Callithrix jacchus: one gene and its partners. The protein of the gene in region 3 interacts with the protein of the main gene of each other region in a biochemical or structural test. Links are inferred from orthologs where the notes say so. Each region holds a gene or a part of one and is shown on either strand. Other genes may lie near its edges.

Region 1 (3,644 bases), on a different chromosome or scaffold from region 3:
TGTCCTCAATGTCTCTAGCACCTTCGTTCTGACCTGCTCGGGTTCAGCTCCAGTGGTATGGGAACGGATGTCCCAGGAGCCCCCGCAGGAAATGGCCAAGGCCCAGGACGGCAGCTTCTTCAGTGTGCTGACACTGAGCAACCTCACTGGGCTAGACACGGGAGAATACTTCTGCACCTACAATGACTCCCATGGCCTGGAGCTCGATGAGCGGAAACGGCTCTACATCTTTGTGCCAGGTAAGCGCCCCCAGCCTGTGTACCCACTCCTTACCCCTCTTTTCAACTGAAGACATCAGGGGAAGTCCAGAGAGTGCTTTAGTTTGTTGTGAAATACAGCCATCTCCCTGCCAGTCACCCCATTCCTGCCTCCCAAGAACTCTATATTCTCAGCTGCTTCCAATCTGCTCCCTCTTGGCCCCCACATCCCATCTTCTCCATTCTCCAAGCCCTAGATATCAGCCGCACTTCAACTTGTGACTTGTCTCCTTTCTTACCCTGGCACTGTCAATATCCAACATTAGAGCTGGAAGGGACCAGCTCTACCATTTGATTTATGCTCCTCTGGGAGCATCCCTATTCTGTCATGGGGAGACAGAGGGCTAGAGAGGGCAAACGATTTGCCACATAGCAATTCAGGGGATGGCCAGAAACTCGGTTCCCCTGACTCATTCATGGCTCCACTCCCGGCAGATCCCACTGTGGTCTTCCTCCCTAATGATGCCGAGGAACTATTCATCTTTCTCACGGAAATAACTGAGACCACAATTCCGTGCCGAGTGACAGACCCGCAGCTGGTGGTGACACTGCATGAGAAAAAAGGGGACGTTGCACTGCCTGTCCTCTACGATCACCAACGAGGCTTTTCTGGTATCTTCGAGGACAGAAGCTACATCTGCAAAACCACCATTGGGGACAGGGAGGTGGATTCCGACGCCTACTATGTCTACAGACTCCAGGGTGAGCTCCCTTTCTGGCCCGATGCTCAGCAGAGGCAAGTATAACCCTCCACAGAGGAATAGCCCTTTACAGTTTGCAAAGTGTGTGGCTCCATTTCTCATAGGATTCTCACCACAGCCTTGGAAGGGAGATAGTGTTTTCCCCATGTTACAGGTGAGGAAACTCAGGTGCAGAGAGGGTGGAGTTTGCCCCCTGTTGCAGAATACGATAATGGCAGAGCTGGCCTATATAAAATGGTCGGTGAGGTCGCAAGCTTCAGAGCCAGCTGGGTTGAAATCCCAGCTTTACCATTTTCCGTCCTAGTGACTTTACACAAAGCACATAATCTCTCTGAGCCTGCTTCCCCTCTTGTAACGTAAAGATAACAATGACTGCTTACCTCATAGGATCATTGTGAAGTTTAAATAAAATAAAAGCTGGAAAGCACCTGGCACTTGGTATGTGCTCAATACATGTCTCCTGTATGTAGATCTCCAGAGGGTACTTTGATTTCCAGACTATTACCCCTTCTAGAATATCAGCTCCATGAGAACAGAAATTTGGTCCATTTTGTTCACTACTGTAGCCCCAGTATCTAGAACAGTACTTGACATGTAGTGGGTATTCAGTAAATACTTGTCGAATGAATGAATCTTCTACATCAGTCATCCTTTCCCTCTCTAGCCCCCTACCCTATCCCCAAGGTGAAGTGCTAGTGGCTGGTAGTGACTTCCCAGCCCTAAGCCAATCTCTCTCCACCAGTGTCATCCATCAACGTCTCTGTGAACGCTGTGCAGACTGTGGTCCGCCAGGGCGAGAACATCACCCTCATGTGCATCGTGATTGGGAATGAGGTGGTCAACTTTGAGTGGACGTACCCCCGCCAAGAGGTAATGTGGGGCCAGGCAGGATCGGAGGAGGGGCCAGGAAGGGGTGGATGTCTGGCTTGCAGACTGACTCCTCACCGGCCCCTCTTGATTGGGGGGCCTGCCTAACCTGTTCCTGCAGAGCGGGCGGCTGGTGGAGCCGGTGACCGACTTCCTCTTGGATATGCCTTACCACATCCGCTCCATCCTGCACATCCCCAGTGCCGAGTTGGACGACTCGGGGACCTACATCTGCAATGTGACAGAGAGTGTGAATGACCATCAGGATGAAAAGGCCATCAACGTCACTGTGGTTGGTGCGTGCCTTGGGCTCAGCCCAACCCCCAGTCTGAGCTGGACCCAGAGCCTGTCACAGCTCTGGGGGTATAGTCAGCCACACTCCAGTGCGGCCCTAGCTAGCCTCTGTGCCAACCAAAACCCCAAATCCAGGATAAACCCAAACCAAAATGCAGTGTCAGCCCCAAATCCAACCCTATCTCAACCTAGACTTTCTGACTAGCCAGAGCCCCAGCCCCAACCTGATTTCCAAGCCCAGCTGCTGTCCCAGATTCAGGAAGCCCCATCCGCAAATTCAGCCTCGTCACTAGCCCCAGGCTCAGCCACAATGCTGATCCAGAACAGAGAACTATTGGTACAACTCTGGTCCCACCCCAGGAGCCGGCCCCAACATCAACATCAGCCCCAAATTCGGCCCCTTCTCTAGGCCCTGTCCCCATCCCGATTTCAACCTCAGCTCCAGAAACTCCATGGCTGGCTGGCCAGCAAGGTCCCTAGGCCTGAAGCCCTGTCCCCCAGGCTGGCCTCCTTTGGGATTCAGTTGGTGTCCTGCCCCCAGGACCCTGCCCCTGACAGTCGCTCCTTGCAGAGAGTGGCTACGTGCGTCTCCTGGGAGAGCTGGGTGCTCTACAGTTTGCCGAGCTGCACCGAAGCCGGACGCTGCAGGTAGTGTTCGAGGCCTACCCGCCACCCACTGTCCTGTGGTTCAAAGACAACCGCACCCTGGGTGACTCCAGCGCTGGCGAGATCGCCCTGTCCACCCGCAACGTGTCGGAGACCCGGTGAGTAGCCTGCTCTCCCACCCCATTCTTGAAGTTATGTTTCTTTGCAGCCACTAGGCAGCCCTCGGCATGTGGCCACAAACCTAGGCCCAGCTTTCTGAGAGTATATTAGGTGCCAGGCATGGGGGATGCTGCTGCGACCGGAGCTGACTCCCTCCTAGAGTTTCTGGTCTAGTGGAGGAAACAGGCGCCAGTCAGATGATCACCCAGATGTTTAGTTGTCCTTGTGATGGGTGGGGCGAGCCGTAGCAGCCAAGAAGTAAACGGCCAGATGACTGGGGAAGAGGGTGCCAGGCAGGCCACTCATGGCCTGTGGTATCCCTGAGGCTAGAGACTTGCTGGCTGACAGAGACTGAGACAGGTTAGGATGGGGCACTGCCTGGCCTTTCTGAAGGGGAGAGAAACAGGACTTTTCCTTCAACGCCGCCCACCCCCACCCACAGCCCATCTCAACCCTCCCTCTTGGCTAGGGGAACTGCCTATGGGCAAGGATTTAGGATACTGGCTTTGAGTCCTGGCTCTGCTACCAATGTCTAGGTGATCTTGGCAAGCCCTTTCCCTCCCTGGGCCTTGTTGCTGTTTATGCCAGGAGAGTGAGGAGGACCGTAGAGTTCTTCCAGCTCACAGCTGCCTGTCCTGCTCCCCAGGTACGTGTCAGAGCTGACCCTCGTTCGCGTGAAGGTGGCAGAGGCTGGTCACTACACCATGCGGGCCTTCCATGAGGATGCTGAGGTCCAGCTCTCCTTCCAGCTGCAGATCAA
Region 2 (3,644 bases), on a different chromosome or scaffold from region 3:
TTTGAAGGTGCCTAGGAGAACTAGGCCATTCTTCTTTCAGGGACAACCCTTCACCCTGCTATTCTCAACAGTTCATTTGCCAGGCCTGGCACTCCCTTGTTGCCTTCCTGACTTCCTCTCTGCATACTGTGGACCTTACAGGAAAGGGGCCCTGGTCAGCTGGCCAGGAGGAGCTGAGCAGAAGACCTGGCAGCTGCAGTAAGTCTGTGTGATCCCTGACTGCTAACCTTCCCTCTGGTACTGTGTCCCCATACTTCCCCAGGGCAGAGGAAGTGCCCTCACCCTCTCCCTCCATCCAAATGATGAAGGCTCAGGGCCCAGCTGCTCTCCACTCTGCATACAATTATTGTCTGATCACAAGGCCACCCATCCAGGCCTTCCTCCACTCTACCTACCTTCTCCATGCTACTGATGTCACAAGTGATCCCTTTGAGGACCAGATCCAGCTCAGGTCGGTACCGCACTTGGTAGTTGCTAAACTGGATGTTGCCTTTGCTGGGCCAATCTGGTGGAGGCCTCTTATCAGTCACCCAGGGTGCCTGGCAAGGAGACAAGGTGAGAAGTATGCTTTATAAGGTGGCAACTCAGCTGAACGGTTCTCTTAGGCCCCACGTCACAGAACAGGAAAAGGGTAGCAGTGACCCAGCTACCTAATGGCCTCTGCATTTCATAGACTGAACTGCACTTGTACCTTTGGAAGATTCCTTCCTTACTCAGTTAAAGAAAAATTATCACATGAGCTTGTGTTGTAGATCTCCTCAGTATGTTCTAAGACCTGACTTCCCCTAAACCATTTCCTATTCTAAGTTTGAAGAAATAAGGTCTTTTGAGTTACAGGAAAGGAAACTTTAGGGGACCCATTACTAGCCCATATGAAATATGGAGACATTCTAAAGATGCACTCTTGAAGGAGTTGCATGGTTTTTTTTTTGCCTTGTCCCTGGATTTTTCTAATTCCTCCTTACCTCATTTTCCACTTTTGTGTACTCAGTTATTCGCTCAACAGCCACAATGTTGGTCTCTATTTCTGATGTCATCCTCACTAGCCAGTTCAGGGTTTGTGTGATCTACAGAAAAACCAGAAGACTGAAAATCATCTTAGACACGGAAACCAACTCCACTACTCAAACCACAAGGACGATCCAGTGCCTACTTTGTACCCAGCACTGTGCTGGGCTCTACAAGGGAGTAAGGAAAAGTGTAAGAAAGACAATCCTTGCCTCCTTGGGGAAGGAATCAAGAGCAGGGCATTGAATGGCTGCAGAACAATTAGGTACTCACACAAAGGGCAATGTGAGTGTCTAGTGGTTTGGGTCTAAAGCTGGAATTGGAGAGTCTGGCAACGGGTGCTCAGGCCTCCTGCCTGTATGCCTAGTGCTCTTTGTGAATCAAGGAAAGACATGATCCCGGCCAGGGAATCTGTAGATTACTCAGATGCAAGCTTCTCTCAGGAAAAGACTCAGGAGTTTGCATGTATGCACAGGGAGTTTTTGTTGAGAAAATGGTGGTTAGAGAAAGGGAGCCATAGACAGCAGAGGATAGAATCATGGGGACCCAGAATAACCACTTTGTGTAGATTGAAGCATATGTAGTTGCTGGTTGAGTCATTTTGTTTTGGTTCAATCTAATAGATTCTTATTTGCCTGTCTGTCCTGGGCTAAAAAGCCGAGAAATGGGGGGATGAAAGGGCAGTGGCACAAGGAATGAAATGACTCTAGTGACTAACAAAGTCCTTTTAGGTGCCCTGGCAGGAATTAAACCTTATTAACTTCTTCTTTTTTTTTGAGATGGAATCTTGCTCTGTGGCCCAGGCTGGAGTGCAATGGCATGACCTTGGCTCACTGCAACCTCTGCCTCCTGGGTTCAAGTGATTCTCCTGCCTCAGGGATTACAGGTGCCTGCCACCACACCTGGCTAATCTTTTGTATTTTTAGTAGGGACTGGGTTTTACCATATTGTCCAGGCTAGTCTCAAACTCCTGACTTCAGTTGATCCGCCCGCCTTGGCCTCTCAAAGTGCTGGGTTTACAGGTGTGAGCCACCGCGCCCCACCAGCCTTATAAACTTCTAATGAAAACAGCACTATTCTATAAAGCCCACATATAACTATGCAAATCTCCAAAAATTAGTTCAAAAAGATGGTCAAATGACTCATTTATTGAACAAATATTGATTGAATAGTGACTGTAGTGCCAGCCACTGTCTTAGGTGCTGGAAAAGAACTGTGCCTGCCATGTCTCCCCTAGTCACGCTGGGGCTGCTGCAGTGAGACTCATTCTGTAGTTTATCAGACTCTATGTTCTTTATTAAAATTACCTCCAATTATTCTGTGATCTAAGAAAAATAAACACAGGAGGAGTTTTTTGTTCTAAAAGGCTTTCTGATTACTGCTACATTCTAGAGAAGAAAGTCATTTATTCTCTCTTTTAACTAGAACCAAGCAAAGAGGCAGACAGGGAACAATTAGATCGAAACACATGAAATTGCCTTCTTAAGTCCTAAGGTCAACATTTATGTCCAGTTTTCTAGAGGGCACTCATGTCTATTTAGGAAGAGTAAGGAGCATGTCCATGGGTGAAAGATGGAGCCAGGGTTGGTCTCCGTTAGTCCTTCTGGGGTTAAGAGGGAATCAAGAGCACAGACTCCAGAGTATACTTCAGGCTTAATTTAAAAATAAGCCCACTAACATAACCAAACTCCCAACCTTCAAACTCACATTGAGTGCATTGGACAGAACAAAGCCAACAGTGTCCCCATTTAGTGTATCTCTATAAATAACCATCATCAAGGCCGAAAAGAAGACAATCAGGTTCCCAACCAGCTCCAGGCGAATTGCAAGCCACCTGTGGGGCAACAGAACCAGAGAGTGGGTGTCACTAATCACTTCCTCATCTTAACCAGCATCCTTGGTGTTCATAGAACATTCTCAGAGGGTTTGACTCAATCAGGCTGCACTCTTAGGTGAAGCCTCAATTTGTCTTAGAAACACCATGTATTCCTAAAAGCCTATTGATTTTTTTTTTAAGAAAACAAATTGCATTTTAAAGATCCTAGAGGAGTTTCCTAAATTAAGGGAATTCTATTGTGCAATGTCTCCCAAACTCGCCAAATCATAAGAATCACCTAGAGCAAGGGCAACTGTTAAAATACAATGTTAAAAATTCACGTGGAAAATTCCTGGACCCTTTTCTGATTCAAGGGGCCTAGGATGGGATTCAAGAATCTGCATTTTGTTTTTGTTTTTGTTTTATGAGACAGGGTCTTGCTCTGTCACTAAGGTGAGACTGCAGTGGGATGATTATGATTCACTGCAGCCTTGACCTCCCGGCTCAAGCCATCCTCCCACCTCAACCTCCCAAGAAGCTGGAACTATAGGTGCATGCCACCGCACCCAGCTAATTTGTGTGTGTGTGTGTGTGTCTGTGTGTTTTGGAGAGCCAGGATTTCATCATGTTGCCCAGGCTGGTCTTGAACTCCTGGGTTCACATGACCTGCTTGCCTCAGTCTCCCAAAGTGCTGGGATTACAGGTGTGAGCCACTACTCCTGGCCAAGAATCTGCATTTTGAATGAAAGCTCCAAGTGACTTTTTTTGATCACTTGGGGAAGAAATGCCATAGTGACCACAGGAAAGGTCAATGTGCCCT
Region 3 (4,293 bases):
TCAGTGGGATGGCCAGTGCTACAGGCACTCCTCAGCCTCTGTCCTGAGTGGTTCTGGACACAGCTGGTCTTCCCAAGAGGCCACCCAGCCAACCACTCTCTGTGCCACACTTTTCCACTGAGATACTCACTTAAGAGCTGATCAAGATAAGGGAACAGCCCCACCTTGCACACAAATTCAAATGAAAACAAACTGGCAAACCTCAATTTGATGCTTTATATAGGAAAGGGATGCGTTTTAGAAAAAATAGCTCTTACAATGTTTGTTAACATTTCTTGCAATAACCGCATGGGCCATCCGCAAGCTTCACACAGAACGGTGTGGGATTTTCTGCTAGAGGGACTCAGTGGTGCTGACTGTGAGTCAGTTTGAAGCAGCTGGGATTCAAACGCCTGGGCATGACGCAGTGCAGCTCAGTATTGAGTAAGGGGCTTGAGTACTTCACATCATTTCTAAAGTTCTAGAGAAGGCAGGCATAACATCATCCAATGCCTCCACCTCACAGACGGGAGAACCAGAGCTCAGAAATCCTGGGACTTGGCTGGTGATAGTGTCCCCAGGGTTTGCTGGTGGCTCTCCTCTCATCTCCTGGTCTAAGGAAGTACACACAAATGTAGGTGTCCCTCTAAAACCTGCAAGAATCAAATTCTGTGCTCACCCAGGAAGCTCAAAGCCACGGCTTTTGAGTGTGTGTGCTACGCCAAGCCTCCACAGGAGCCTCCCAGGCCCTCTGGCACCCAGCAGCGTAACCAAAAGGGCAAAGGGAGGAGCTGAATGAGACTGCAACTTGCAGTAGGGTGGGGGTATCCGTGAGTGCCAAAGTCCAAAAAAAAAAAAAAAAAAGGGTCAAATCGATCGATGGACTCAGCACAAAGTTCACACTGGATTTCTGCCTGGGATTAAAGATCATTGGCCCCAACCTCTGGTGTCAACCCCTTGCTCTGGGTGCTCCGATCCCTTCCCCCACCCCTTGCCAATGCCAGCTTGGCAGGGGCAGGAAGTGGGAGCCTGGTGGCCCTGGCATTCCCAGCACCCAGCTCTGGCCGGACAGGTCTCTGGTGACCTCACTTCCACCTAACCAGTTGATCCCCTACCTAGGGCTTTGCCTTCCACCTTAATGCTGAACTGTGTGGTCTCTCTGTCCACGGAGGATCCTCCTGGCCCCACGGACACTCCCACCACACACTGCCACCAGGGAGAGCTGGTGCAAGCTGAAGGGGCCCTGGGAGGCTCAGGCCCTGCCCTTCGCAGTGTGCACCCGAAGCTTCCTCACTCCACTCTCTGGGGACAGGAGACTCAGCACAACTCCTGTTTTGCCAGCTGCCCCTCCTGCAGCTGATCCAAACCAGGATCCCATGGGCAAACACCAAACATGGGCAAAAAGCAACCGGCCTGCTGGCTCTGTGGGCACGAGTGAGCGTGGCAAGGCCAGGGCAAGACCACCGGCTCGCCACTTGCCTCAAGAGCTCTCTCCCCTCCCCCCAGCCATCTTCCCCTCCTTCCAAGGTCTTCCCCCTCCCCTCCCTGATACAGGCGCTTACTCCTCACATTCCTGAGTCGTAAATCCTCCTGGGTGGCAGAACCACCACTCAGAGATGCCTTGACTCCTCCTCCCGCCAAGCACCCCCACACCGCCCTGAGATGGCGGGGCTTTCTCTCCCTTGGAAGTTACACCGCACTCCGGGAGGATGAAGTCCAGCAGGGCTGAAGCTGATTGCACACACCGGCGGGCTGAGGGAGGGCCACCTCGCGCCGGGGCTCCGCACAGGAGGAGGAAGGGCTATTCCTCTAGCTTTTGAAGTAGGGGTGGTGGATGAAGCTGGCACCTCTGGGGCGGAGAGTCCTTCCTCCCGAGCCCATCTGCGGACTGGGGTGAACGATGAGAGGGCGCCAGGGAGGGGCAGGATTGGTGGATTACGAGCAGACACAGACCTGAGGGAAGGGGGACTGGGTTCCCCTGCGCTGCCCTCTCAAGGGCCAGGGAACAAGAGGTGCAGGTGGCAAAGGCGCTCAGGCTCCCAGCACAGCCAGGGAAGGAGAGAGGTCGCGGGACGCAGCCCCAGGCCTGCCTAGGATCTACCAGGGAGCCTGGTCGGCGGGCGGAAGCCGTCTCCCCCTCGCAGTTAGAGTTTTCAGAAAGACAACGGCGGGCGCGGGGCTGGACGGCCGTGGCGCCTGGGTCCCTCCCGATCCCCCTCCCACCTCATTCCAGCCGGCGCCGCCCCGGCCCGGCTTACCTGCTCCGGGTGGCTCTTGTCGGCCTCGCTAGGCTCATTTTCGTTGCCAGCCCCCTGCGCCTCGGCGGCGGCTGGCGACTCGGCCTTGCCCGGCGCTTCCTGGGTGCGCAGCAGCTCCTCGCGGACCTGGACGCCGAGCTTCTGCAGCTGCTCGTCCGTCTCGGGGTCGACCACCAGCAGGCGCACGGCGTTGAGCGCGGCGCGGATGCGGCTCACCACCTGCTGGTGGGTCTCCTTCTCCACGTTCTCGCCGTTCACCTCCACCAGCCGGTCCCCGGCCAGCAGCCCTGCCTTCTCCGCCGGCGAGCCGGGCTCCACCAGCCGGATGTACTGGCCCACCTTGCCCTTCTCGCCGTGCAGGTGGAAGCCGTAGCCGTTCGGACCCTTTTCCAGGCAGCAGAGCCGGGGCAGGGGCGCCCCGGCCGCCGCGTCCGCGCTCATCTCGCCCTGCGACGACTCAGCTGCGCCACTCGGGGTTCCGTTGGAGACGGGACGGCTCAATCCTTCTTCCCGCCCAGAGAACCGGGAACGCAGCAGGGAAGCCCAGCGCCGCGGGACCGGCGAAGCGAGCAGGTGTCCCGGGAACCGCCGGCCGCCGCGAGCCTTGAGGAGTAAAGAAAGGAGCGCGGACCAATCCCCGCCTCGCTCGGCGTCTGAGCTTTCCAGAGCCCGCCCAGGCTCCTTACCCCGGGGGCGGGGCCACGCAGAGGGTGTGGGACTCCGCGAGCCAATCGGAGGCCGCGGGCCGGGGCGCTGCTGCCGGGTGAACGGCGCCGGCCAATGGAAACGCGTGGGGCGGGGCCTGTCCTCGGCGCGGAGCCCAGTGGCGGGCGAAGACAGAGCGCTCAGGAAGTGGAAGTGTTTGTTGCCGAGCTGCCGGCGCTGGGGTGGCAGGGGCGGGGCCCGCTCAGTTCTCGGTTCTGGGTGGTGGGGCCCACCGGCTCCGGCCTGGTTTCCCCTGCCTGTGGCGGAGAGTGAGGAGAGGCCCTCTGGTAAAGGGACTCTTTTTTTCTTATTTATTTATTTATTTTGAGACGGAGTCTTGCTCTGTCTCCAGGCTGGAGTGCAGTGGCGCGATCTCGGCTCACTGCAGCCTCCGCCTCCTGGATTCAAGCGATTCTCCTGCCTCAGCCTCCCGAGTAGCTGGGATTACAGGCGCCCGCCACCACGCCCGGCTATTTTTTTGTAGATTTAGTAGAGACGGGGTTTCGCCGTGTTGGCCAGGCTGGTTTCAAACTCCTCACCTCAGGTGATCCACCCACCTCGGCCTCCCAAAGTGCTGGGATTACCGGTGTGAACCACTGCACTGGCCAACGTTTTAACAGCCTTTAGCCAAAGCATGGGTGCAGCTCTGCTTAAGGGGGACCGGCTGTTGCCGGGGCAACGGCTCCCGCGGGGCAGCGAGGGCCAGGCAGTCTTGAGAATTAAGACTGAGAGCCTCCTCGGACCCTATAGAGTTGTTTGAATAACATTTTTCCGTTTGTGGGAACCCTAACGCTAACCCACTTTGCACTGTCAGGCAGCGCTGCCTGACACTTGGCACTCCTCGCATAGAGGAGTGCAGGTTCTGATTCCTGCTTGGGAAGGTGCAGAGGTGCGGGCTCGGTGGAGAGCCTGGGACCTCGAGGGGCAACTCACTGAAGACAGGACACCTAGGGCAATGGCATGGGCTTTGGTGTCAGCGTTTGGCTAGGGAGGTGGGATGGGGAGAGGCAGAACAGACTCAGATAATCAGCCTCTGGGTACACTCCACAGGGAACAGAGCCTTGGTTTTTTTTTTTTTTTTTCCAACAGAGAAAGAAAAATGATTAGGACTGTAAGATAAGCCTTTAGCTCCCTCTTGCCAAAGAGAGGCTGGTCACAGAGGTAGGGAGTCTGTTAAGGGGGGAACTGACCCTCAGGAGAGACACTGAGAGGAGGATGGAATGATTTTGGCAGTGAATGACAATTCCGTCAACAGGACACCCCTCCCACACACACTTCAAAGAAACAGTGGACAGGATGTGCTTTCCAAAATACTGCAATTTAATTCTGAAAAACTCAAATGCAAGAGGCC

Evidence for each region.
Region 1: the proteins of NHERF1 (region 3) and PDGFRB form a complex in vitro, tested with the Homo sapiens proteins (2 studies listed by BioGRID and IntAct, with this or other methods). The link is inferred for Callithrix jacchus from reciprocal best matches to the Homo sapiens genes NHERF1 and PDGFRB.
Region 2: the proteins of NHERF1 (region 3) and ABCC2 form a complex in vitro, tested with the Homo sapiens proteins (2 studies listed by BioGRID). The link is inferred for Callithrix jacchus from reciprocal best matches to the Homo sapiens genes NHERF1 and ABCC2.

The regions. Positions count from the first base shown.
Region 1 is NC_133503.1:48,845,559-48,849,202, reverse strand, and holds part of PDGFRB (platelet-derived growth factor receptor beta), read left to right. Parts: coding exon 1-239; intron 240-692; coding exon 693-959; intron 960-1,700; coding exon 1,701-1,828; intron 1,829-1,946; coding exon 1,947-2,121; intron 2,122-2,690; coding exon 2,691-2,883; intron 2,884-3,530; coding exon 3,531-3,644. UniProt on the Homo sapiens protein: Tyrosine-protein kinase that acts as a cell-surface receptor for homodimeric PDGFB and PDGFD and for heterodimers formed by PDGFA and PDGFB, and plays an essential role in the regulation of embryonic development, cell proliferation, survival, differentiation, chemotaxis and migration.
Region 2 is NC_133513.1:92,776,458-92,780,101, reverse strand, and holds part of ABCC2 (ATP-binding cassette sub-family C member 2), read right to left. Parts: intron 2,843-3,644; coding exon 2,716-2,842; intron 1,068-2,715; coding exon 966-1,067; intron 540-965; coding exon 396-539; intron 1-395. UniProt on the Homo sapiens protein: ATP-dependent transporter of the ATP-binding cassette (ABC) family that binds and hydrolyzes ATP to enable active transport of various substrates including many drugs, toxicants and endogenous compound across cell membranes.
Region 3 is NC_133506.1:130,683,502-130,687,794, reverse strand, and holds the start of NHERF1 (Na(+)/H(+) exchange regulatory cofactor NHE-RF1), read right to left. Parts: upstream 2,893-4,293; 5' UTR 2,679-2,892; coding exon 2,238-2,678; intron 1-2,237. UniProt on the Homo sapiens protein: Scaffold protein that connects plasma membrane proteins with members of the ezrin/moesin/radixin family and thereby helps to link them to the actin cytoskeleton and to regulate their surface expression. Necessary for recycling of internalized ADRB2.